Linked DNA regions of Xenopus tropicalis. The protein of the gene in region 2 interacts with the protein of the main gene of each other region in a pairwise test. Links are inferred from orthologs where the notes say so. Each region holds a gene or a part of one and is shown on either strand. Other genes may lie near its edges. The genes, in order: numa1 and brap.

Region 1 (11,528 bases), on a different chromosome or scaffold from region 2:
GGGCTACTGGCTAGGGTAAGCATCTACTGGGGTAATGTAAGAAAAGGCACAGGAGCAGTAACCCATAGCAACCAATCAGCGGGGTGAATTTACTGGTCTCCTGTTTAAAAGCAAACATTTTATGGGTTGCTATGGGTTACTGCTCCTGGGCAAACTTAGTGCCTGTTATTACATATGTGGGTAAGCTTGCTAATGTGCAGTAACTCATAGCACCCAATTAACAGGTAGCATGTTCTAGTCACCTGTTTATTGGTTGCTATGGGTTACTGCACTTAGGCAGGCCTGTTATTACATATAGGGGTAAGCTTGCTAATGTGCAGTAACCCATAGCACCCAATTAACAGGTAGCATGTTCTAGTCACCTGTTTATTGGTTGCTATGGGTTACTGCACTTAGGCAGGCCTGTTATTACATATAGGGGTAAGCTTGCTAATGTGCAGTAACCCATAGCACCCAATTAACAGGTAGCATGCTCTGGACACCTGTTTATTGGTTGCTATGGGTTACTGCACTTAGGCAGGCCTGTTATTACATATAGGGGTAAGCTTGCTAATGTGCAGTAACCCATAGCACCCAATTAACAGGTAGCATGCTCTGGACACCTGTTTATTGGTTGCTATGGGTTACTGCACTTAGGCAGGCCTGTTATTACATATGTGGGTAAGCTTGCTAATGTGCAGTAACCCATAGCACCCAATTAACAGGTAGCATGTTCTGGTCACCTGTTTACAAGGAAGCATCTTATTGGTTGCTATAGGTTACTGCACTTAGGCAGGCCTGTAATTACATATGTGGGTAAGACTTATTATTTCTGTACTTAATGCTCAGTACCTGAAGAAGGAGCCTCTGCTTTTCCTCCTGGAACGCTTTCCAATCATCCACAACCCTCGTTTTCACGTGCTCGTATTTGCCGGTTGCAGTTTCCAGTTTCTGGCTGAGATCTTGTACTCGCTCGTTGCCTTCTCTCAGAGTCTTCTCGTGCTGCAGGCGGAGAGACTTCAGCTGTTCCTCGTGCTGCTCCTTGAGGTTGGACACCTCGCTCTCCAGTTTCTTGGCACCCTGGTCAGAAGCTTGAGACAAGCTTTGGTTCTCCCCAACGAGCCGGCTGTTGAGCTGCTGAAGATGGGCTATTTGGGACAAGTGATCGTCGTTCTCGGAGTGCAGTTTCTGTAACCGAAGCTCTTGGTTGTGAACTTTCTCCTTGAGTAGAACCATTTCGGCCATGTCCTCCTTAGTCTTTTGCAGTTCTGCCTGGAAACGCTCAGTTAGCTTTTTCTGGCCCAGAAGTTCCTCCTGGTGCTTCTCTTGCATCACTTCCCGTTCTGCAATGATTTCCTGGTAACTGCGTTTTAGGGATGCAAATTCCTCCAGGAGGCTTTGGTTGCTGCTGAGATTCTGTTGGAGAGAAGAGATTTGCTGTTCCTTCTCAGCACAGTTTCCCTGCCAGGAGCGAATTTCCTGCTGCAAGCGATCGTTTGTTTCTGCCTGGGAGGAGAGCGACTGCTGGAGGCCCTCAACTGCCATTCTTTGCTTGTCTGCTTCTTGTCTGCAGGTTTGGGCTTCCGTCTTTAAACTATCCATAGCGCGATTCTTTTCAAGTAGCTCCTTAGAGGAGGCCTCTACATCACCATGGAGCTTTTTCAGCTTCTCTTCTAGCTTTGTGCTTCTATTAGTTTCCTTCAATAGCCGCTGTTCAAACTCCGCAGACACCTCCACCTTAGAACTCAAGCTCTTCACTTCTGCATGCAGGCTGCCCACCTCTTTACTCTTCATTTCAATTTCCTTCTGGTACTGTTCTGCTTGTTGTTTGGCCTCTGTTAAGGCTCGCTGCCTCTCCTGAGCCGCAGAAAGCATAGAGGAGAGCTCTCGACTTGACTCAGTAGAAGATTTCTGACTTTGCTCCAGTTCTTGAACCTTATGAAACAACTCTTTCTTCAGTGCTTGTAGCTCAGTTTCCTTATCTGCCTGCGCGGCCTGAGAAGCCTCCAGCTGCTTCAGCAGGTCACACGTCTTTTGCCTCTCTTTATGGATTTCACCTTCGAGCGCTTGGATTCCTTCTAGCTGTCTCTCCGACGTTGAAACCTTTTCGGAGGCCAGTGTTTCTGCCTCAGCAGCCTGTTTCTGGGCCTGACAAATCAGTTCCTTCTGCTCTTTGCACTCTCTTTCCAGATCTACTATTTGGCCCTGAAGACCTCGGGCCTCCTCCTGCTTGCTCCGATACTGCTCTTGAATGCAAGCAAGGTCTCCCTTCTGGTTCTTGATGTCGTGTTCCAAGGATTCAATATTTTTAGTTTTTTCAGAAATGATAGCTTTTAGGTTAGCCATCTCTGCTTCAGCACCCTTAGTGGCCCGGACATGCTGTGCAATCTCTTTTTCCTGCAGGGCCGCCTGTTCTTTAAGTGCAACCAAAGCAGTTAGCTCTTCTGTGAGCTTTCCCATAGTCTGTTGCTGCTTCCGTATCTCCTCTTGTGTTACGGCAGCCTCTTTATGAAGTCTTTCTACTTCACTTTCCTTCTGAGAGATGAGATCAAGGGAACGGGAAAGCTCATTCTGCAAGGCACTGAGCTCACCTTTGTGCGTATCCAACAATTTCTGCAGCTGAGCCCCCATCTCTGTTTTACTAGCCAAGTCCAACGCAGCTTTTTCTTTGGCCTCAATCAACTGCTCAATTTCAGTATTTTTCTGAGCCAGCTCTTCCTTATGCTTCTGACCGATCTCCTCTAGCTGCCTGTTCAGATCCTTCACCTCTTCAGAAAGCTTTGCAGTTTCACTTTCTCGCTCTTTAACAGCAGCTAAACTGGTTTTCACCTCAGATTCCAGGGACTGAATTCTTTCAGATTTTTGCTCTTTTAACTCTTTCACCAAGGCTTCAAGTTCTTCTTTCTTATGCTTCTCATCAGACACCTCTCTGACTAGACAATCCAGTTCTGACTTTGCATTGCTTAAGGCTGTTTCCAGATGGGAAAGACGCTCACTTTCCCCTTGATGAGCAATCTGAAATTTCTCCTCTGAAGAGTGGAGAGCAGAGAGTAGCTTCTTTTCCTCAGCTTCTCTCTCTTTGATACGAGAGTAGGCTTCAGACAGTTCACACTCCAACCGATTTATCTGCTCCAGTTGAGAAGAGTTTGTTTCCTTTATCTTGGCTTCCAACATCAAAACTTTACTCTTCTCTCCCTCCAGTTGCTGGCAAACATCAGTATGAGCCTTCTTCAGATGTTGAATTTGTTCCTCCATCTGGCAGGAGTTCTGCACTATCTTCTGCTGAGACTCTTCATATTTGGCCTTCCAGATGTCAACCACCTTAGACAACTCGTCCCTTTCTGCTTCACGCTGTTTGATAGCAGCGCTGGATTCTGCCATTTTTGCCTGCAGGGTTTCATTTGCTGTATGGTACTCCTCCTGTAAGTGCTTCAGCTGAGATTCAATCTTCTGTCCAGCGGCCCTTTCTTCAGCAAGGTTACTCAGTGCTGCATCTCTGCTTTCACTCAACTTCTTCATCTCCTCTTCAAGGTGGGAAATTCTTTTACCGTCGCTATCAAGAGAAGCAGCAAATTTCATTTTCTCTTTCTCTAGATGTTCCCTAAGATGTCTCAGACTTTCGTCCATAGACAGGAGCTGTTCTTTAAGTTGCGAGTTTTCTTCGGACACCAATTCACAGGAGGACACCTTCTTCTGATATATTTTCAGTTGACTCTCCTGCTCTGAAAGCTGTGCCTTTAGAGACTCCACAGCGGCTGCATGAGATTTGCTCTGTGAAGCATTTTCACTATCCAAGTTCTGGCATTTAGCAAGCAGATCTAGAATGGTGGCATCCAGTTCCTGTAGCTTGGATGCCAGCTCTGCCTTTTCCCTTTTCAGCTCCTCTATAACAGAAAGACTAGCTTGATGATCTTGTTCCAGTGTTTTCATGGTCATGTTTAAGACACTGAACTCTTCATCCTTTTTGCACTTGTACTCATTGAATGTGGAAAGAGTGGAATCTCTCTCACAGGCAACTTTCTGCTGTTCTTCTCTTAAATAGTCAACTTCTTTCGCCTTGCTCTCTAGCTGTTGTGTAAGTCCAACCAGATTGCCCTCGGAAACCTTCAAAGAGCTACTAATTTGCTCCACTTGGTTTACAAGCTCCTGAATGTTCTGCTTTGAGGATTCTTCCAGTATTTTGAAGTTTTCCAAGAGCTGATTTTTTTCTCTCTTCTCTTCTTCCACTTGATGGTGAATGCCCTTCAGCTCTTCCTCCTTATGCACCAGGGAAGACTTCAGCTTGGAGATCTCCAGTTTTAATGTTGTAATCTGGCATGTCAGATGTTCCTGTTGTGCCCTGGCCTCGTTATCTTGCCTCTCCTTCTGAAATGTTATTTCTGACAATGAAGTCTGCAGGTTAGTGACTATCTCCTGCAGCTGACTTTTCTCAGATTCAAATCTGGACCTCTGTGCCTCCATGTCAATTTCTGTAGTGCTCTTTTCCTCTTCCAACTGATGGATCTGTTCTGTTAGACTGAGGCACTGGGTGCTGAGCGCAGTTACCTCTTGCTTCAAGTCTTCCAGCTAAAGGAGAAAAAAAAAAAACAAACCTCAGTAAAAAACGTATGGTACTAACAGTCTTTACAGTCTCCATGCATCCATCCATACCTTGAGGATGTCACCCATACAATCTCCTTTTTCTTCCACCTCTCTCTCCCCCATCTTCTTTAGCTGATCCTCAAGCATTGATATTTTTCCCTGCAGTATTAAGTGATGCTCTTCCAGATACTTCTGCAATAACAAAACAGATATTAACGCCAAATCCACAGAACAATCTTTGTATACTTTTATATAACGGAGGAAAGGACCTTGCAGAACATACAAATCAGAAACAAAATATCACTCCGGAGAAACGTGTCAACCAACCAGTCGCAGTTTTATTTTATACTGCACATCGTGTTTCAGAACCAGTGATCCTTCATCAGGATCTGAAGCATGTTGTGTATATAATAAAACTACAACTGGTTGATTGACATAGTTCTCCGGAGTGATATTTTCTTTCTGATTTGTAAAGTCTGGATGGCGTGACGGTGCCTCTACTCTGTAAGAAAAACCTATGTACAGAAAATAACGTGGTAAACTTCACTCACTATTTTATTGTGATCCTCACAGAACATATTTTATCTAGGTGAATTAGAAGGAAAAAGGAGGGCGTTCTCAAAAGGGAGGTAGGAGTGCACCAAGAGCCCGGGAATGTGTACGGTGAAAGCTTGGGAAGGCAGCATGTAATGACAATAAAGGGTAGTAGTGAAGGGTCCAAGGGAGACATATCTGGGAAGGGCATGGGATTTGGCCTGTGCCATCTTTCAAAAGGGCTGAGCCACCCCAGGGACATGTGTGCAGGGAAAGATTGGCAGAGCCAGCGGGAGTCGCATAGTATGCCTGCTGTCCAACTTGGGGCCCCTCTCAGCACTAGTCAACCGTCTACCAAAGTGAAGGAGGACAGGTAGAGGCAAGTAGGGCGGCTTCAAGTGAGGGATGGAGCACAGAGACCCAGTAGACCAGGGATCCCCAACCTTTCTTATTTGTGAGTCACAGTCAAATGTAAAAAGACTTGGAGAGCAACACAAGCACCATAAAAGTACATGGAGGAGCCAAATAAGGGCTGTGATTGGCTATTAGGCAGCCTCTATGCACCCTATCAGCTTACAGGGGCTTTATTTGGTAGGAAATCTTGTTTTTATTCAACCAAAACTTGTCCCCAAGTCAGGAATTCAACAATAACTGGGGGCACTGAGAGCAACAGCCAAGGGGTTGGTGAGCAACATGTTGCTCACGAGACACTGGTTGGGGATCACTGCAGTAGACCTTCCAGTAGGAGAACAACCCCAAGAATCCACACCACATGGATGTCCTGTCTAACCAACAAGGACCCATAAGTCCCCTGGCTGCCACTTTTAGCCACTGGTCAAACAGGCAGCCTGTGTGTTCCCCAGCCCCACGGAGGACAGCACAAGAAGGGGCAGAGTTACAGCCCCTGTGGGAGGGGTCAAGTACAAGTTGAAGTCAGTTATTTTTAGTCTTCTGCATCCTGATGGTGGACGCTATATTCCTACAGTTCCTATATCACCTCGATAAAGGAGAAAATACCCTTCCGAAATACTTTGAAAGGGACACTAAGCTCACAATAAATATTGGTTCATAAATGCTACACCTTAAAAGGCATATTATGAATTATCAAAGGCTACCATGCTGCCTATCACAGCAACCTTCTGCCATGTCCATTATCTGGCCAATGGAGCACATCACACAGAACATGAACAACGTGTTATGATCGTTTGTTAGCATCCCCGAAGGTCAAGCTAAACCAAGCAGCCCAACACATCTGATTAAGCCATTAATTCATTACCTTTTCACCGACTGCACCACTCAGCTCACTCTCTAACTGGCTCTGTTTCTGCTCCCAGTTGCTCAGAGAAAGCTCGTGTTCCTCTGTGGTTTCATAGAGAGCCTCCTGCAGTTGTGCCAAGCGGTTGGATAAGTCTCGCACCTGCACAAAGACACATATGGGATGATATATATATGTATATGTATGTGGGGAAGTGAAACTTGTCATGTGACATGGAGGATTACAAGACCTTGTAAGAGAGCTCGCCATTCTCCTCGGCCAATTGATCGTTCTTGCGTTCCAGTTGTTTCTTGTCAGTCTTCATATCCTGACACTGCTTGAGGGTGTCCCGAAGTCTGATCATCAGGCTACGGGGAAAAAGTGCACAGGTCAGCCTTTGTGTGTGTGTGTGTGGTTTGCACATAGTGGGATTCAAATAAAGGAAGATTGCACTGGGACAACTGGGAAATATATGGAGTTGGGAGAGTTATTTCTGTTATAAGGCTTCATTTATATAGTTCTGCACTTAACAGACTGTTTCATATTCACACTAATTCCTACCCTGTGGAGCTTACAATCGAAGGTCCGTCATATTTACACGTGTCATTTTGGGGGGCTAACTAACCTCCCAGGGTGTGTCTGGAAAAGGGGAGAAGGTGCATACAAACACATACTGAACATAAAGGGGCACAGGGAGGTGTAGAGGTGCCACTCAGTAGGTTACTCACCTCTCATTCTTCTCCCGAAGTTCCTCCAGCTCTTTGGGTTCCTGTAGCTCAGCCTGGTTCTCCCTTAAGATCCGAAGGTGTTCAATCTGCTGCTGCAGGAGGGAGATCTGAGCCTCTGTAAGGAAATGAATGAGAGAGGGGGGTGACTTTGTGTCATTGATTCTACTGAGAAGTTGTAAAGGGATCCTGTTCTATTTGGTTTCCTTAAAGGGCTTTGCAAGCTCTGTGGTAACTAAAGGAAAAAACATAGCAACTTCAAATGTATAAATACAAAATACATGATTGGCGCCTGTGTCTCGGGCTTACAGATAAGGAGCTTATTTATACAGAGAGTTTGGGTAAAGGCACTGACCTTTCTCTGCCAGGTGTTTGCGGTTCTCTGCCAGTTCCACCTCCAGTTCATCTCTACAGTCCCGCACTTCACTCAGTTGCTTCTTCAGGCGCCTCATCTGGAACTGAGGGGTGTGCAGCACCTCGATCATTGGGGAAGATGGGGGGTCCGCTGACAAACTGTGAAACACCAGAAACAGAGTCAAGACACGGCCTCAGGTCAGAGCTGGGATGTAAGGAAGGAACCATGGCACAATCAAACAATATCAAATCTAAACTGACGGCAGAATTGGATTCCTCATGTAAAACCAACTCCAAATTAAAGACCCTTGAGTTAACTTTATGTTATTGAACGTCCTATTCCCTAGCAACATTGAAATTGGTCTTTATTATTTATTGTTTTGTGAATTATTTGCCTCCCTCTTGTACATCTTTCCAGCTTTTAAACGGAGGGGGGTCACTGACCCAGGCAGCAAGAAAATGAATATTATTAACTTCTTTTTATTTCTTATCTTCCCATTCGGGTCCTCTCCTAATCATATTCCAGTCTCTCATTCAAAACACTTCCTGGTTGCTAAAGTAAACAAGACCCTAGCAACCAGAAATTCCAAACTGGAGAGCTGAAGAAAAAGCCGAATAACTTTGAAACCACAGAAAATAAGTAATGAAAACAAATTGCAAATTTTCTCAGAATATCAATGTCTACATCATACTAAGTTAGTTTAGAGGTGAACAAACCCTTTGCAAAAAAAAAAAAAAAAAACGAAAATGCTTTTTTTTTTGCAAAGCCCTCACACATAGGCTGTGCCAAGATCTGACACACAGGGGGCAGTGTTGTGCTGGGAAAGCAGTTCCCCCTGTCTGTCAGAGCTGAGCACAGCCCAAAGGTACAGGAATAATGGGCTTGCAAGTTCAAGCGCAGGGCAACAATCAGCAGAAAGGGGAGGGGCTGTTGTCCTCGGATTTTGGCCTGAAAGGGGCCGGTGGATATAAAAAGCCATGCACATTGTGTAACTGGGGTTAAAATTTACTTACACCATTTATGTAACAATTAACTGACTCATTAACAAAAATTAATGGAACTATTTATATAAGCTGCTTATTATACATGAACTTTCCAGCAGGGGAATGACTGGTTATTATAGAGTCACATCAGCTGTTTGTATTGGGATCTATTTACTGACTGATATGAGCGGCTCCTACATGAACTTTCCAGCAGGGGAATGACTGGTTATTATAGAGTCACATCAGCTGTTTGTATTGGGATCTATTTACTGAATGATATGAGCGGCTCCTACATGAACTTTCCAGCAGGGGAATGACTGGTTATTATAGAGTCACATCGGCTGTTTGTATTGGGATCTATTTACTGACTGATATGAGCGGCTCCTACATGAACTTTCCAGCAGGGGAATGACTGGTTATTATAGAGTCACATCAGCTGTTTGTATGGGGATCTATTTACTGAATGATATCAGCGGCTCCTACATGAACTTTCCAGCAGGGGAATGACTGGTTATTATAGAGTCACATCAGCTGTTTGTATGGGGATCTATTTACTGACTGATATGAGCGGCTCCTACATGAACTTTCCAGCAGGGGAATGACTGGTTATTATAGAGTCACATCAGCTGTTTGTATTGGGATCTATTTACTGACTGATATCAGCGGCTCCTACATGAACTTTCCAGCAGGGGAATGACCGGTTATTATAGAGTAACACCTTCTGGAAAGTTCATGTAGGATCCGCTTTTTTGTTTCTCCTGCACCTAAGCAAAATACCAGTCTGCCCAAGAGTTTGCTATAAAGCAGCAGGATATTTACCTTTTCATAGTAGATGAGGAAGCAACACGATGCAGCTCCAGAAAGCGCACTTCGCTCTTCCGCCTGTGGGACACATTAGGAGACGCGGCGTCGGAGCAACTGGACGTATCATCTCCCAAGGAGGGAAAACGCGCTGGAAGAGAAGAGGTCTCATAAGCAAGAGTGAGGCACAATGCAGGGGAGGTGTTACTGAATATACACCAATATATGCCAAGGGCACAAACATGCAGCCTGCTCGCACACCACATAATTATTTACATTTAGCAAAGCAAAAATGTCCCTAAAACACGCGCCCAGCACACAATTCTGCCTCACCTTTCCGCTGCAGGAAGTTGATAAGTTTGTCGTCCAGACAGAGAGCATCTTCATTATCCAGTACAAAGCGCAAGATGGAGGCCAGCTCTGTCTGCAAGTGCAGAAATTCATAATGAGAGAGTGAAATCTTAGATAATGCACCTTCATTGGGTCACAAAATGGCAGGAAAGCGCTCAGCCAATCAAAGTTACTGGTCCAATTACTATGAACCAACATAGCAGCAGGAGGCTTCCTCACCTGAGTTTTATGATCAAAATCCTCAGATTTCTTCGGGTTTTTGGAGCTCATAGTTGAGTAATAGAAGAGAAGGACGATTGCCTGTGAGATATAACGAAGGGGTGCAGTTAGAACAGTTTAACTTCTAGTAGTGAGTCCATTAGGGTGAAGACACAGAGATACTTAGTAGCTGCTACTAGTAGCGCCATGTGTTTCACCCATACTTGCCTATTGCTTTACTGTGGTATTTCATTCTCTCTGCTGCAGAGAGACAATTCTACAGATACTTTTCTGTATCAGCTGCAGATCCCTTTTACCCAATAAGAGATTCCAGCCATCTCATAAAGAAAGTGGCATGTTGGGAAAAATGGTAGGGGAGCCAATGCTGCTGTGCAGGGAGTACAAATATAAGCCACTCACAGGCCTTTCGTGTAAGTGCAAATCTTATGGGCAGAGAAAGGCAGCACCCACTGGCAGCTGCTAAAGGTGGCCATACACGGGCCAATTGTAGCTGCCGATATGGGTCCCTTAGACCGATTCGGCAGCTTATAGGCCCGTGTAGGGGCAGAAGCGAGGGACATGCACGACCGATATCTGGCCTGAAATTGGGCAGATATTGATCGGGCAGGTTAAAAGATTTAGTCGGATCGGGGACCGCGTCGGCTCGTTGATGCGGTCCCCGAAGCGACTGCCCCATTGCCGCCATTATAATTCGATCGAATTAGCCTACATGTTCCCCAATATCGCCCACCCGTAAGTGGGGATATCAGGTGAAGATTCACTCGCTTGGCGACCTCTTCACGTGTATGGGCACCATAAGGCCTAAGGTTGCCTATGCTCCCAGTGGGAAAGGGGACAGAGCTATAAATCAGCAGAAGAGTCGGAGTGGGATGGATGGCAGGGAGAATGGGCATGTGAGAGAGAGGGCAATTGTGCAGCCGGAAAGTACCTTGGAAAGTTCCACTTCCAGGTTCTCCCCCTGCAGAATCTTCTGCCATTGCACCAAGTTTTCAGCTGAGGAGCCCGGCCGGCAATACCCTACAGAAAGAGAGAATGAGTGAGATTTACTCAGGACACACACAGGCCAGAGAAGCGCAGAAGCCCCACAATGCTTGTTGAGTAGCAGCTCCATGGGGGGGGGGGAAGCAGGAAGCTATTAAACACAGAGAATAAAACCCCTCAGAATGGCCGCAAATGCCAGGGCCCTAAAGGGACAGTAAGGCTGAAGGGCACATTATGCACAAACATTCTGATTGGCTAAGGGAAGGGGCAAGTGATTGTACATTACACACTATCAGTGCAGCAGTGAGTATCAGGAACAGAACTACTAATATCAGTACTGGGGGGGGGGGGGAATTCTCTCCAGGTGTGACCCCCAAACAACACGCACATCAGCCGTCCCTTACCCTTCATGCCCCCCCAGGGGATCTTACTTTGTAAGAAGGCACAGAGGAAGTTCAGCCGCTCCTCCGGGATCTGCTGTAGGACAAGGGCCGTTTCCTCGGAGTTCCCTGATCTGAGAGACAGGAACAGCCCATCACATACAGTCTGAGCGGTACCCGCCCCCCCCCAACGCGGCACCACAGGGGTCTAATAGTAACTAATATGAGCTCTCACTCTGGCAGCTGTGGGTCCAACAGAACCTGGGCTTACAGGGAAACGGGTGGGTTTTATGGCTGATTGGGGTTAAGCACTGTATTGAGCAAATATGGGGGGGCTCGGCTTATTTTGGAAAGACAGGAAGATGGAAATAATAAAAATATAGT
Region 2 (11,528 bases):
ATGCTGTGGGGGGGGGGGGTTGGGTGGGGACAATGTAGGATTCTGGCCTGTAGGTGCCCTTGGGAGGAATCCAGCCCTGAGCATTCCAGATAATAAAGCCAATATTATTATTTTTTTTTTTTTTTTTGCTAACCAACCCTTTTATTGAATCCCTTGCTAGTGGTCTCCATAGGAATCAGTAGGTTGCAAATGTTACTGAACAGTCATGTTTTATTTTACTAACTTTAAAACACAGGAACAAAGAAAACAGTGTGGTAAGTGCAAAAGTTTGGACACCCTTCCACTTGTTCAGTGTGTATATATTATTGCCCTCTAGCATAACTAAAAAGATAATAGATTCATAAAACCCTCTGTCTTATTCAATATTGTGTTTCTGTATTGCTTTAGTACTCGTACCTTCTCACCAGTCAGCTGGAATCACAACGTATTTACTGGGAGAACAAAATTGTGCGCCTGGAAAAAGATACAGCAGAAGAGGTTAGAGACATGCTTAAATTTGTCCCTTGTGGTATGTGCATGTTGACTTTCCAAACCCAAAATAATTGTGGTAATTTGCAAATTAGGTTAAAAAAGAAAAAAGTAAGGCATCCCCAGTAAATTCAGTTCCTAAGTATCTGGTGCTCTTTTTTTTTTTTTTTTTGGAAAATATGAACAAACCTGGGGTACTTTCTTTAGCAGCATAGCACCACTTCTTTCTCTTTTAGGCATCCATCCAAAGACTTACACTTAAGGTGGCCATACACCTACGGGTGGGTGATATTGGGCAAATCCAGGCTAATTTGGTCGTTTGGTCCGGGGGCCAAGCGATCGAATTAGAATGACGGGTATAGGCGAAGTCGGACCTCGATCAGACAGGATAAAAAATTTAGTCTGATCGGGGACCACATCGGCTCATTGATGCTGTCCCCGATCCAACTACAATTTTTAATGAATTTCAGGCCAGATATCAGTCAGGCAGGCCCGTCGTTAGTGCCCCTACATGGGCCAATTAGCTGCCGAATCGGTCTAAGGGACCGATATCAGCAGTTAGAATCGGCCCATCTATGGCCACCTTTAGGCTGTGCATTAAATGAGACTGATTCCATTTTACAGGTGCAAGTCTTCACAAAGAACCTGAGAAAGTGAAGAAAGTTTGCTGCGCTGATAGTTCCCCGAGTTGGTGCATGTTTTCCAAAAACAGCAGTGGCCAGGGAAAAAACTTACCAACTGAATTCACTGGGGGTTACACATGCCAGGCACTCTCCAATGAATTTGGGCTTAATTGCCTTTTAAGAGACCTCCTACATTGCTATTATAGAGCAAAGATGATTTTTTAAACACAGGATAAAATTTGGCATCATTGTATAGTTAACACCCACTTTCAAGAGACACACTGCTGCAACACATTGGATTTTAAGCTTCCTACTGCTGCTTTTATAGACAAGTGCCATTCTTGCCATTATGATAAGGTCAAACACAACATAGTGGCCTGTATGAATTCACCCAACATTCGTTTCTGATTATAGATTAATAACATGAAGGCAAAGTTTAAGGAGACCATAGATAAGTGTGACAGCCTGGAGCATAGACTTAATGACCTGAGCAAAGAGAAACAAGCTGTGGAAAGAAGGTAAGGGTTTAGTGTGGTTAGTATTTGACTGAATTTTATTATAGCAGTCTACACCTTTGTTTTTCTCTTGATGGTGTAAAGTGCTGTTTCTGATCAGTTCCCAGCTGCAGACCAATTTTTGACTGTATCTGAATTCAAGCCTTAAAGTAACAGTTCAGTGTAAAAATGAAACTGGGCAAAACAGACTGCGCAAAATAAAAAATATTTCTAATATAGTTGCTTAGGCAAAAATGGAATCTATAAAGGCTGGAATGAGCAGATGTCACATAACATAATGGCCAGAGCACTTCCTGCTTTCATTTCTCTAACCTCTTAGTTAAACTTTTCATCAGACCACCAAAAGGAAGTATAGAGGCCCAAACCAACAGCAATAAAAAAGGGTCCATATACATGGATCGCCTCTTGCAAGATACCCATCCATTTGGCCCTTGATCTGATTAATGGGGTACTATACACATTGTGTTGTGTATGGCCATTTTTTTTAAAATAATTTTTTTATATTTTTAAACAAATACTGCAGGGTTCTAGTTAATTATTTTGGTGTCCAAAACAAAATATTGTTTGCCTAAATTATGCACAGAGACATAAAGCACCACATTGGGTTAAAGAGGACCTGTCACCCTAAAAAATAATTTCAAATTCTTTTCTATCATGTTAGTTGAGCAAAATAAACTTCACTTACACCATATAAACAATTTAATGTTTTTTTCTGTTTAGTCTTGGAACTTTCAGTCACAGTCAGCAGGCAGGCACCATTTTGTGTACACAAGCTTTGTATCACCCCAAAATCTTATGCATTTGCCATCTAGGTGATATCTAGGAAGTTCCGAATGGAAAGATAAAGTAATTGTAATTAAAAATCTGAGCTGTCAATCGTATATGGCCTGCCCCCCACCTCTATGCCCCAGGCTGTTGTGTATCCACAGGGGCAGCCATTTAAGCTGGAAAAAGGAGAAAAGACACAGGTTACATAGCAGGTAACAGATAAACTCTGTAGAATACAATAGTGTTTTATCTTTTATCTGCTAAGTAACTTGTGCCTTTTCTCCTTTGAATGGCTGCCCCCTTGGCTAAACAGCACCAGTGCAGGGCAACAGTACATTATATTGGAATTACTTTAATGTTCCTTTAGGGCTCTGGTACATGAGGAGATTTGTCGCTGGCGATTTTTAAAAGAGCGATTTGGCGACAAGACGAGCGACAAGATGCCAATGCTAAACCAATGGAAATCGCCAGCGTCAAAACATACGAGGCTACTTCAAATCGCCTGCTGTTTCAAATCACACACAGACCCTTTTCTGAGTGACTTGAGTAAACATATGGGGGGGTTAACTGTTGAGTGGTACCATGGGTAGCAGATCGCCTGGAGCTCAACTCGCATGAAATCTCTTCGTGTGTATTGTCGTGGCGACTTGTCGCCAAAGCGCCTGGGGGAAAAAACGCAGGCGACAAATTTCCTCGTGTGCCAAAGCCCTTAATGACAGAGCCTCCTGGCTTGTCCATTATGTGTGAACTGCTTTAATCACCTAGTTGCAGAGTTGTAAAGAGTTAACAGCATCAGGGTAATTCAAATGAAAAAAGAAAATGGGCTTTCTAGGAGTTTGAGTGTTAAAGTATTTTTTTAGCAGCATTTAATAATAATAATAATAATAATAATAAATTGTGCATGTGGCCCCTGTAATACACCCCTGGGCAAGAAACGCTTTTAAAGAAGAAATGTACGTTTTGTGATAAGTAGACATAGATGAATGCCAAGACAGGATATAGTTAAGTCAGTAGCAGCCACTTTATAGAAAGTAGGAAAAACCCTCCAAGAATGTTATCATTGTATCTTCTTTTCTTAAAGTTTCCATTAGACAAATGCAAAGGGGAAAAGAACTGTGTCATTTTCAGTGTCATGTTAGCTGTTCATGGACAGACGTGGCCCCTTTAAAAGGTGTTGTGGCGCATCAGTAGAGAAGGTTGCAGTTTAAGCTTGGTTACTCCATCTACAGTACTTTTTCTTCTGTGGAGAATGATGGGGTTTGCACTTCGAATGTGGAATATTAAGCCTTGGAAAACAGCCTATTTATGTAGTTTGTTCGAAGGCAGGCATATATCTCCTTTCAAAGAGAGCCTGATTCTTCTTATTTTTGAAGCCAACAAAGAGCTTGACAAGGGAAAAATAAACTCAAAGGTGAAAGTATAATTTGGGCACAGTGACTCTCCAGATATGTTGAGCATGCCATTTCCTGGAGTACAAACCAAGCTGTGTTTATCACATGATTCTAAGGGGTATATTTATCATTGTGTAAAAATAGTGGAGTGAAGCATTACCAGTGATATTGCCCAGGGCAGCCAATCAGCAATTAGATTTTAACAGTTAGAAAGCCAAAGCAAAGCATCTGATTGGCTGCTATGAGCAACATCACCGGTAAGGGCTCTGGCACACAGGGAGATTAGTCGCCCGCGACAAATCTCCCTTGTCACGGGCGACTAATCTCCCCAAACTACCATCCCTCTGGCGAAAATGTAAGTCGCCGGTGGGATGGCACACGCTGAGCAGGTGATTTCGGCAAATCGCGGAAGTTGCCTCGCGAGGCATTTTCGGCGATTTGCCAAAATAGCCTGCGCAGCATGTGCCATCCCATCGGCGACTTACATTTTTGCCGGTGGGATGGTAGTTTGGGGAGATTAGTCGCCCGTGACAAGGGAGATTTGTCGCGGGCGACTAATCTCCCTGTGTGCCAGAGCCCTAATGCTTTACTCCACTTTTTACACAGCAGGATAAATATACCCCTAAGTGTTTGCTGCAAGTCAAGGAATAATCTAATCAGGTGTTTTTTCTATTTTATTGGAAGGTGTGCCCAGTTGAACAGTAAAGTGGCCAAGCTCTCCACTGAGCTGAAAGAAGAGCAAGAAATGAACAAGTGCCTTAGGGCCAATCAAACCATGCTGCAATCCAGGCTTCGAGAAGAGGAAATAATGCGCAAGGAAACCTGCGAGCAGAAGGACGTGCAGCTCTTAGAAATGCAGGAGCAACTGAGAGATGTAATGTTTTACTTGGAAACACAGCAAAAAATAAACCATATGCCTGCAGACACTCGACAGGAGATACAGGATGGCCAGATCAACATAGCATCCCCCAGTTCTCCTGCTGCTTCCGGAAAGCTCTCATCTCGGAAGGGGCGTGGAAAAAGGGGCAAATAAGTTGTCTTTTATCCCTTTGTTATGTATCGTCTTAAGGGTTCTTCTGTCACAGTTTTGACTTTAAAATATTTTCCTGAGACAGAATTTAGGCTGTTCAGGTAGGAATTCTTCCATTTTCTGCTGGAGATTTAAGAGCTTCTGGCATTATTTATTTCAGCTATCAAGCACTAGTAGGTACAATATGGTTTATTTTCAGACCTCTTCCATGATTTGTTTGTGAACTTGTTCAGAAACAATTTAGCCGTACAACTGTCAGTAAAACCAGTACAAAAAGACTTGAAAAGCAAGAGGCCAAATATATAACTTTCTGCTGTTGAGCTTAGCCAGATATGGTCTGTTTTATGAATATTTGTGTGGAAAGATCTAAACTAGCTTATTGCTTACTTACTAGTGGCTATTGTTATGGTGAATAATATACCTACAGAGTAACTAAAGCACTGGGAGATTTTGGCACCATATTAGCCTACCATATGTTTGGAGCTTAGGTACCTTTGGGATTGTTGTTCAGATTCCTAAATATATTGCCATTTCTGCATAGAGCTGTGTATGTGCTGGTGTATGAATGTAAGTATACATCAGTTGTACACATAAATATGGCAACAACTTCTTTCTGGACTGTAGCTGCCATTGAAGCATCACTGAAGCCTATTTATATTGTCTAGTCAAAGACACAAATTCACTATGCACATGACATCCCAGCTGCCTTTACTGGAGTAATCCACCCTGCACAGTCCCTATTTCTTCTTTCCAAAACTGGAACCAGCTATCACTGTGTAGCAAACAAGCACAACTGCAACATGGCATACCAAAAAGTTTCAATAAGTAAATGCAAGCAGAAAGTTAGTGTGACAAGTAGTTATAGAGTCCTCCATTATTTATGTTTGCTGTAACACTATATTAGGGGGTAAGTCTGTTCCAACTGATCCCTGTTCAGCTTTGCTACTATGCTTGCTTGTTTGCTATATCACATGTCTTGGCTAATCCTTATGGTGTTTTATACAGCTATAATAAGGGACTGTACCATGTATAATGGCTTCATTATCCTATTTATTTATTTGATTTAAAAGTTTTGTTGGGTTATAAAACCCTTTTAATGTATGGCATTTCTTCAGCTATTAAAGGACCAGTAATACCAAAAAAGTTAAAAAGATTTCTATAAATTCAGGTATTATCTTTTGCATATTTATTACCTGCAAATATCATTTTTTTGCATTGCTCTTTTAGTAGTTATGTTTTCTCCCTTTAGAGTAATGACACATTTTGACACTCTTGCAGGTGGCAAACTGCTGGAAAAAAGGGTATTTTACAGTATTTTGCCAATCGTGTACTAGAGAGCTTAAGAGCAGCAAAACACCAAGTGCCGAAACCCTAAGTTGTAATTAAATACTAAAAGTTATTGCACTGTAATCAGAAAATAACTTATAGGATACTGTATGTATCTCTAAAAAAATTTTTCATTATCCATAAAAAACCTTACCACTTATGGTGCTATCTGCTATCAAACAATCATTCTGAGCAGTTGACATCTGATCTCATTGGACATTCATGACTGAAAATTCTTATGGCTGGTTACCTGTCTGACATTTGTAAGGGCTCTGGCACACGGGGAGATAAAACTCCCTGTTCGCGGGCGACTAATCTCCCCGGATTGCCATCCCACCGGCGAAAATGTAAGTTGCCTCGCGAGGCATTTTCGGCGATTTCCCGAAATCGCCTGCGCAGCGTGTGCTATCCCACCGCCGACTTACATTTTAGCCGGTGGGATGGCAACTCGGGGAAATTGTGGCAAATGACCTCTTAGGGCTCTGGCACACAGGGAGATTAGTCGCCCGCGACAAATCTCCCTGTTCGCGGGCGACTAATCTCCCTGTGTGCCAGAGCCCTAAGAGGTCATTTGCCACAATTTTTCCACAAGTAGAAAAAAAGTGCATTACTTTTAAAGGAACAGCTGGAAGCTCTTTCAGTTTGTATATTACTGGCCCTTTAAATTATTAGAACAACATTTATATATGGTTCCATTTACTGAACTTAAATGGTGTATTCTACACAAATATTATTGTGTTACAAAGCTCCTATGGTGTCAGTGTAGTGTTTCTGTTCTCGAGACTAGCATACTAGTTACTGCTGTCTAATGTTTTCCATGAATCTCTTACTGTTGGTTGCCCAAGATATGGTAGGCAGGCTTATAAGGGTATTGAAATGATGAATATATTATGTTAGTCAAATAGCTAGCAGTGTTCAATTGTGCAAGTTTCTATGCTGGCAGCTTTTCTGGCACAGTATACAAAGCAGCTATTGTGCAATTTATAAAGCTGGGCACGCACAGTGAGATGGTCAGCTGATTATCTTGTTTATAACCCACTTGGAACAGTTAACTCCAATCATAGGCCCTCAGCAGACCATTTTTAGCAAATCATTTCAGCTCTGAGTCAATGTGAGATCTCTGGCTAAAGTAGCTATAACTTCCTCACACATCCCCAGATAAGAGATTATTTGGCCTTATGGTCATAATCTCTCCATTTTAACTATAGACTAAACAACTTGCCCATCATCCAGCATTTGGGTGGCTAATTAGCTGGAAAGAATCAAGGCTGGGTGTCTAATGCAGCTAGGCTGGAATTTAGGAAGAACTGGGGAATTGTGGGAGACGCTTGGAGGTTGTTCCTTTCTCTGTTACCTAGCTCTGTTGACTTGTTAGTAAATGTACGGCATAACTGGTCTGCTGGGGCCACATGTTGGTAAGAGGTTGTTTTTGTATTGTTTGTTTGGTTTGACTCCAGACACACACATTACCAACTAGACCACTAAATACACAATTTTACTTCCGTACAAGTTGTAGTTGGCAAATTCTCTGTTTGCTTTTAGGTAAATAAAAAACAACGCTGATATTGTAATGTAATGTATACAAAGTATGTGAGTGTGAAAACATGTTTCTCTGTTTTCACTAAACATTTCTTTATGTAAGTTAATGTACAAAGCATGCATTACAACTTAAGATCTTTCTTATACCCAGTTCACTTCACTGTTCTTGAAAAGAACCACAGTAAAGGCAACCTTAACATCAATGCATATCTGTCTTGTCTTCTTTTTTTTTTTTTTAATTTTGGCAGTAGTGAGAACTGTTGTCCTCATATGCCCTCTGAGTGTTGCATGACTTGCTGTAGACCTTAAGATTTCCCATCAACCACTTAACAGCAATATAGCGGCCAGGCTGTCTTTGAAATCTGCCAACTTAACCACCCTGGAGTAAACGAGGATTAATCACCAAGAAACATTTTATATATTTATTTAATATTTTCTGATCCTTCTGTTCTTTAATTTAGATAATCTGAAAACATTTATTTTTGGTGGGTCGGCATAAACAGTATGAAATCCAGGCCTGTGAGGCAAGGTACTTTACAGACAAAAACCATGTAACCGTATACAGTGGAGGAAATAATTATTTGACCCCTCACTGATTTTGTAAGTTTGTCCAATGACAAAGAAATGAAAAGTATCATTTCAATGGTAGGTTTATTTTAACAGTGGCAGATAGCACATCAAAAGGAAAATCGAAAAAATAACTTTAAATAAAAGATAGCAACTGATTTGCATTTCATTGAGTGAAATAAGTTTTTGAACCCCTACCAACCATTAAGAGTTCTGGCTCCCACAGAGTGGTTAGACACTTCTACTCAATTAGTCAACCTCATTAAGGACACCTGTCTTAACTAGTCACCTGTATAAAAGACACCTGTCCACAGAATCAATCAATCAAGCAGACTCCAAACTCTCCAACATGGGAAAGACCAAAGAGCTGTCCAAGGATGTCAGAGACAAAATTGTAGACCTGCACAAGGCTGGAATGGGCTACAAAACCATTAGCAAGAAGTTGGGAGAGAAGGTGACAACTGTTGGTGCGATTGTTCGAAAATGGAAGGAGCACAAAATGACCATCAATCGACCTCGCTCTGGGTCTCCACGCAAGATCTCACCTCGTGGGGTGTCAATGATTCTGAGAAAGGTGAAAAAGCATCCTAGAACTACACGGGAGGAGTTTTTATTTAAAGTTATTTTTTCGATTTTCCTTTTGATGTGCTATCTGCCACTGTTAAAATAAACCTACCATTGAAATGATACTGTTCTGAGACTTTTCATTTCTTTGTCATTGGACAAACTTACAAAATCAGTGAGGGGTCAAATAATTATTTCCTCCACTGTATATATAACAATGATAGAAAAACCAGCAGCAAGTATAGCGTTCTTTACCATCATTAAAGAGAAAATATACCCCCTTTTTGACATGAGCCCTGAAATTCAGTTTTGTCTTATGCAGAAAAGGTGTGTAAACACTATCTTTTGACTTCCAGAAATAAATGGAAATATGTTTTACACCAGGCATTCTCAAACTACCGCCCGCGGACCGGATACGGCCCCTCAAGGTAATTTACCTGGCCCCCACTATGATCTGACGTGAGGATGCAGGGGGGAGACGGAGGAAGCAGGAAGAAGCAGTGGGGAGTGGCCATAGTATAAGGACACAGGGGGAGAACTTTAGTCTGGCCCCTCAACAGTCTGAGGGACCATGAACTGGCCCCCTGCTTAAAAAGTTTGAGGACCCCTGTTTTACACAAACATGCCTTATTCCACAACTTAAAAGAAACCATAATAACTCCAATAAGATCTCTTATGCTAAGAGATCCCCATCCCCTCCCCAAATTTGTTTGAGGATTTGAAGTATCTCTACTTCTCATAGTTAGTAATTCATAGATTCTTTGCCAAGCAGAGGGTCTTCCCAGAATCCATCACTTAAAGGAACAGTAACACCAAAAAATGAAAGTGTATAAAAGTAACTAAAATATAATGTGCTGCTGCCCTGCACTGGTAAAAGTTGTGTGTTTACTTCAGAAAGTCTACTATAGTTTATATAAATAAGCTGCTGTGTAGCCATGGAGGCAGCCATTCAAAGGAGAAAAGGCACAGGCACATAGCAGATAACAGATAAAACACTATTGTATTCTACAGAACTTGTCTGTTATCTGCTATGTAACCTGTGCCTTTTTTCCAGCTTGAATGGCTGCCCCCATGGCTGCACAGCAGCTTATTATATAAATTACAGTAGTGTTACTGTAACAAACACACCAGTTTTACCAGTGCAGGGCAACAGTGCATTATATTTTTATTACTTTAAAGCTCTTTAATTTTTTGGTGTTACTGTTCCTTTAACAAAGCAACAAGATAAGGGTGGGGTTGCATTACAGTAAAGCTGGCCATAAACATTCATATGAAACAAATTTTCAGACCGTGTATGGGCTGAGAATTATTGTCTCGATAATTTTTGTACCATGGCAAATGGTGGTTTAGTCAGACAGATCATTTCAGTCAGATAATCATAATATCTGTGCATGTATTGTGTATCTGACATTATCCTTGGGTGACCTACAATGTATTTCCAGAACATAACTTCAGTACGACTGTTGTCTGGCAGTTATTTTATTTTTATATCTAGAAGTTCAGATAGTGTTTGTGCACCTTTTGGGGAGGTGACAGAAGGGGAGATTAGTCTCCCCGCAATGCCATCCCACCGGAAAGAATGTAAGTCGCTGGTGGGATGGCATACGCGTCCCTGCGATTTCCGAAAGTCGCCCGAAGTTTCCTCCCAAGGCCTGTGGCAACGAAGATTTGTCGCAGGGCAACTAATCCCCCCATCTGTCACCTCCCTTAAGCCCGACTGAATGTCAAAAAAATGGGATATATTTTCCCTTGAAAATAATACAAACAGAACTGTGCAATACCGTATCCTAGCGTATAGGTGTATAGGTGTCTACCTTTCCATGCCACTTGCAGTATTTCACATCTCCCACCAGGTGTACAATTATTTAAACAATGTTTTTTGTTCCCTTTGCTTATATGGGTACATATTATAATTGGGAATAATTGTCCACAAACTAAATATTATCAACTTATAAAAGGTAAATTTAATTGAATTTGAATTGTGTAAAAAGATCTTTATCACATTAAAAACACATTATACTTTTACTTTTAATTGAATATGCCAAATCTATTTTTTGGTGCTTAAAAGAGAAAAACAAAATTGTAAAATGTGCCCACAGCACTTCTCTGTGCTTATTAGTTTGACTGCAGGTATCCAAGGAATGGCCAAAGAATTGACTACCTGTTTCAGAATAGCTAATTTTCTGTTCTTCCTTGTAAGCGCTAGTGCTAAGGTGTATCATGCACAGTGCAGCAACTTCATTTTTTCCTCATATTGTATAATTATGTGTGATGCGCTGGTCACTTGTCATGTTGCTACAAGCACCATCTTGTTCAGGTGCTTGTCCAATCAGATGCAAACATTAAGGTTACTTAAAATGACTTTATCCTGGGTTAAGATAGCAACTGCAAACTAGCAAGGATCACAAGGGCATCAATGGCCCATGTACCTCTGCCCTTATACTACAAAACACAATGACAATGTAATATAACTTTAATATTAACATGAATTGCTTCCCTTGTGCCTGTACAGACATGCTTTTAGTTTCAATGCGCTTGTGTCCATTTTTTGTCTTTTTGTCTGTGTCCAAATTTGCACCAAGCCAACATTTTAATGACAAGTACAGCTCCAGTGGTCTGCTCTTTGTGAAAATGTTATAAAAAGCACAAGAGCCACAATATAAGTAGAGATAAGTGAACTTTTTTGCCTGGTACATTTTCACCACAAAAGGACATAATTATCTGCCACTTGCCTTCC

Evidence for each region.
Region 1: the proteins of brap (region 2) and numa1 interact in a two-hybrid assay, tested with the Homo sapiens proteins (2 studies listed by BioGRID and IntAct). The link is inferred for Xenopus tropicalis from reciprocal best matches to the Homo sapiens genes BRAP and NUMA1.

What each region holds. Positions count from the first base shown.
Region 1 is NC_030678.2:178,861,212-178,872,739, reverse strand, and holds part of numa1 (nuclear mitotic apparatus protein 1), read right to left. Parts: intron 11,279-11,528; coding exon 11,196-11,278; intron 10,801-11,195; coding exon 10,712-10,800; intron 9,865-10,711; coding exon 9,784-9,864; intron 9,638-9,783; coding exon 9,547-9,637; intron 9,365-9,546; coding exon 9,232-9,364; intron 7,588-9,231; coding exon 7,430-7,587; intron 7,193-7,429; coding exon 7,078-7,192; intron 6,718-7,077; coding exon 6,600-6,717; intron 6,512-6,599; coding exon 6,371-6,511; intron 4,753-6,370; coding exon 4,630-4,752; intron 4,546-4,629; coding exon 832-4,545; intron 1-831. UniProt on the Homo sapiens protein: Microtubule (MT)-binding protein that plays a role in the formation and maintenance of the spindle poles and the alignement and the segregation of chromosomes during mitotic cell division.
Region 2 is NC_030677.2:163,067,021-163,078,548, forward strand, and holds the end of brap (BRCA1-associated protein), read left to right. Parts: intron 1-387; coding exon 388-477; intron 478-1,505; coding exon 1,506-1,609; intron 1,610-4,449; coding exon 4,450-4,798; 3' UTR 4,799-6,304; downstream 6,305-11,528. UniProt on the Homo sapiens protein: Negatively regulates MAP kinase activation by limiting the formation of Raf/MEK complexes probably by inactivation of the KSR1 scaffold protein.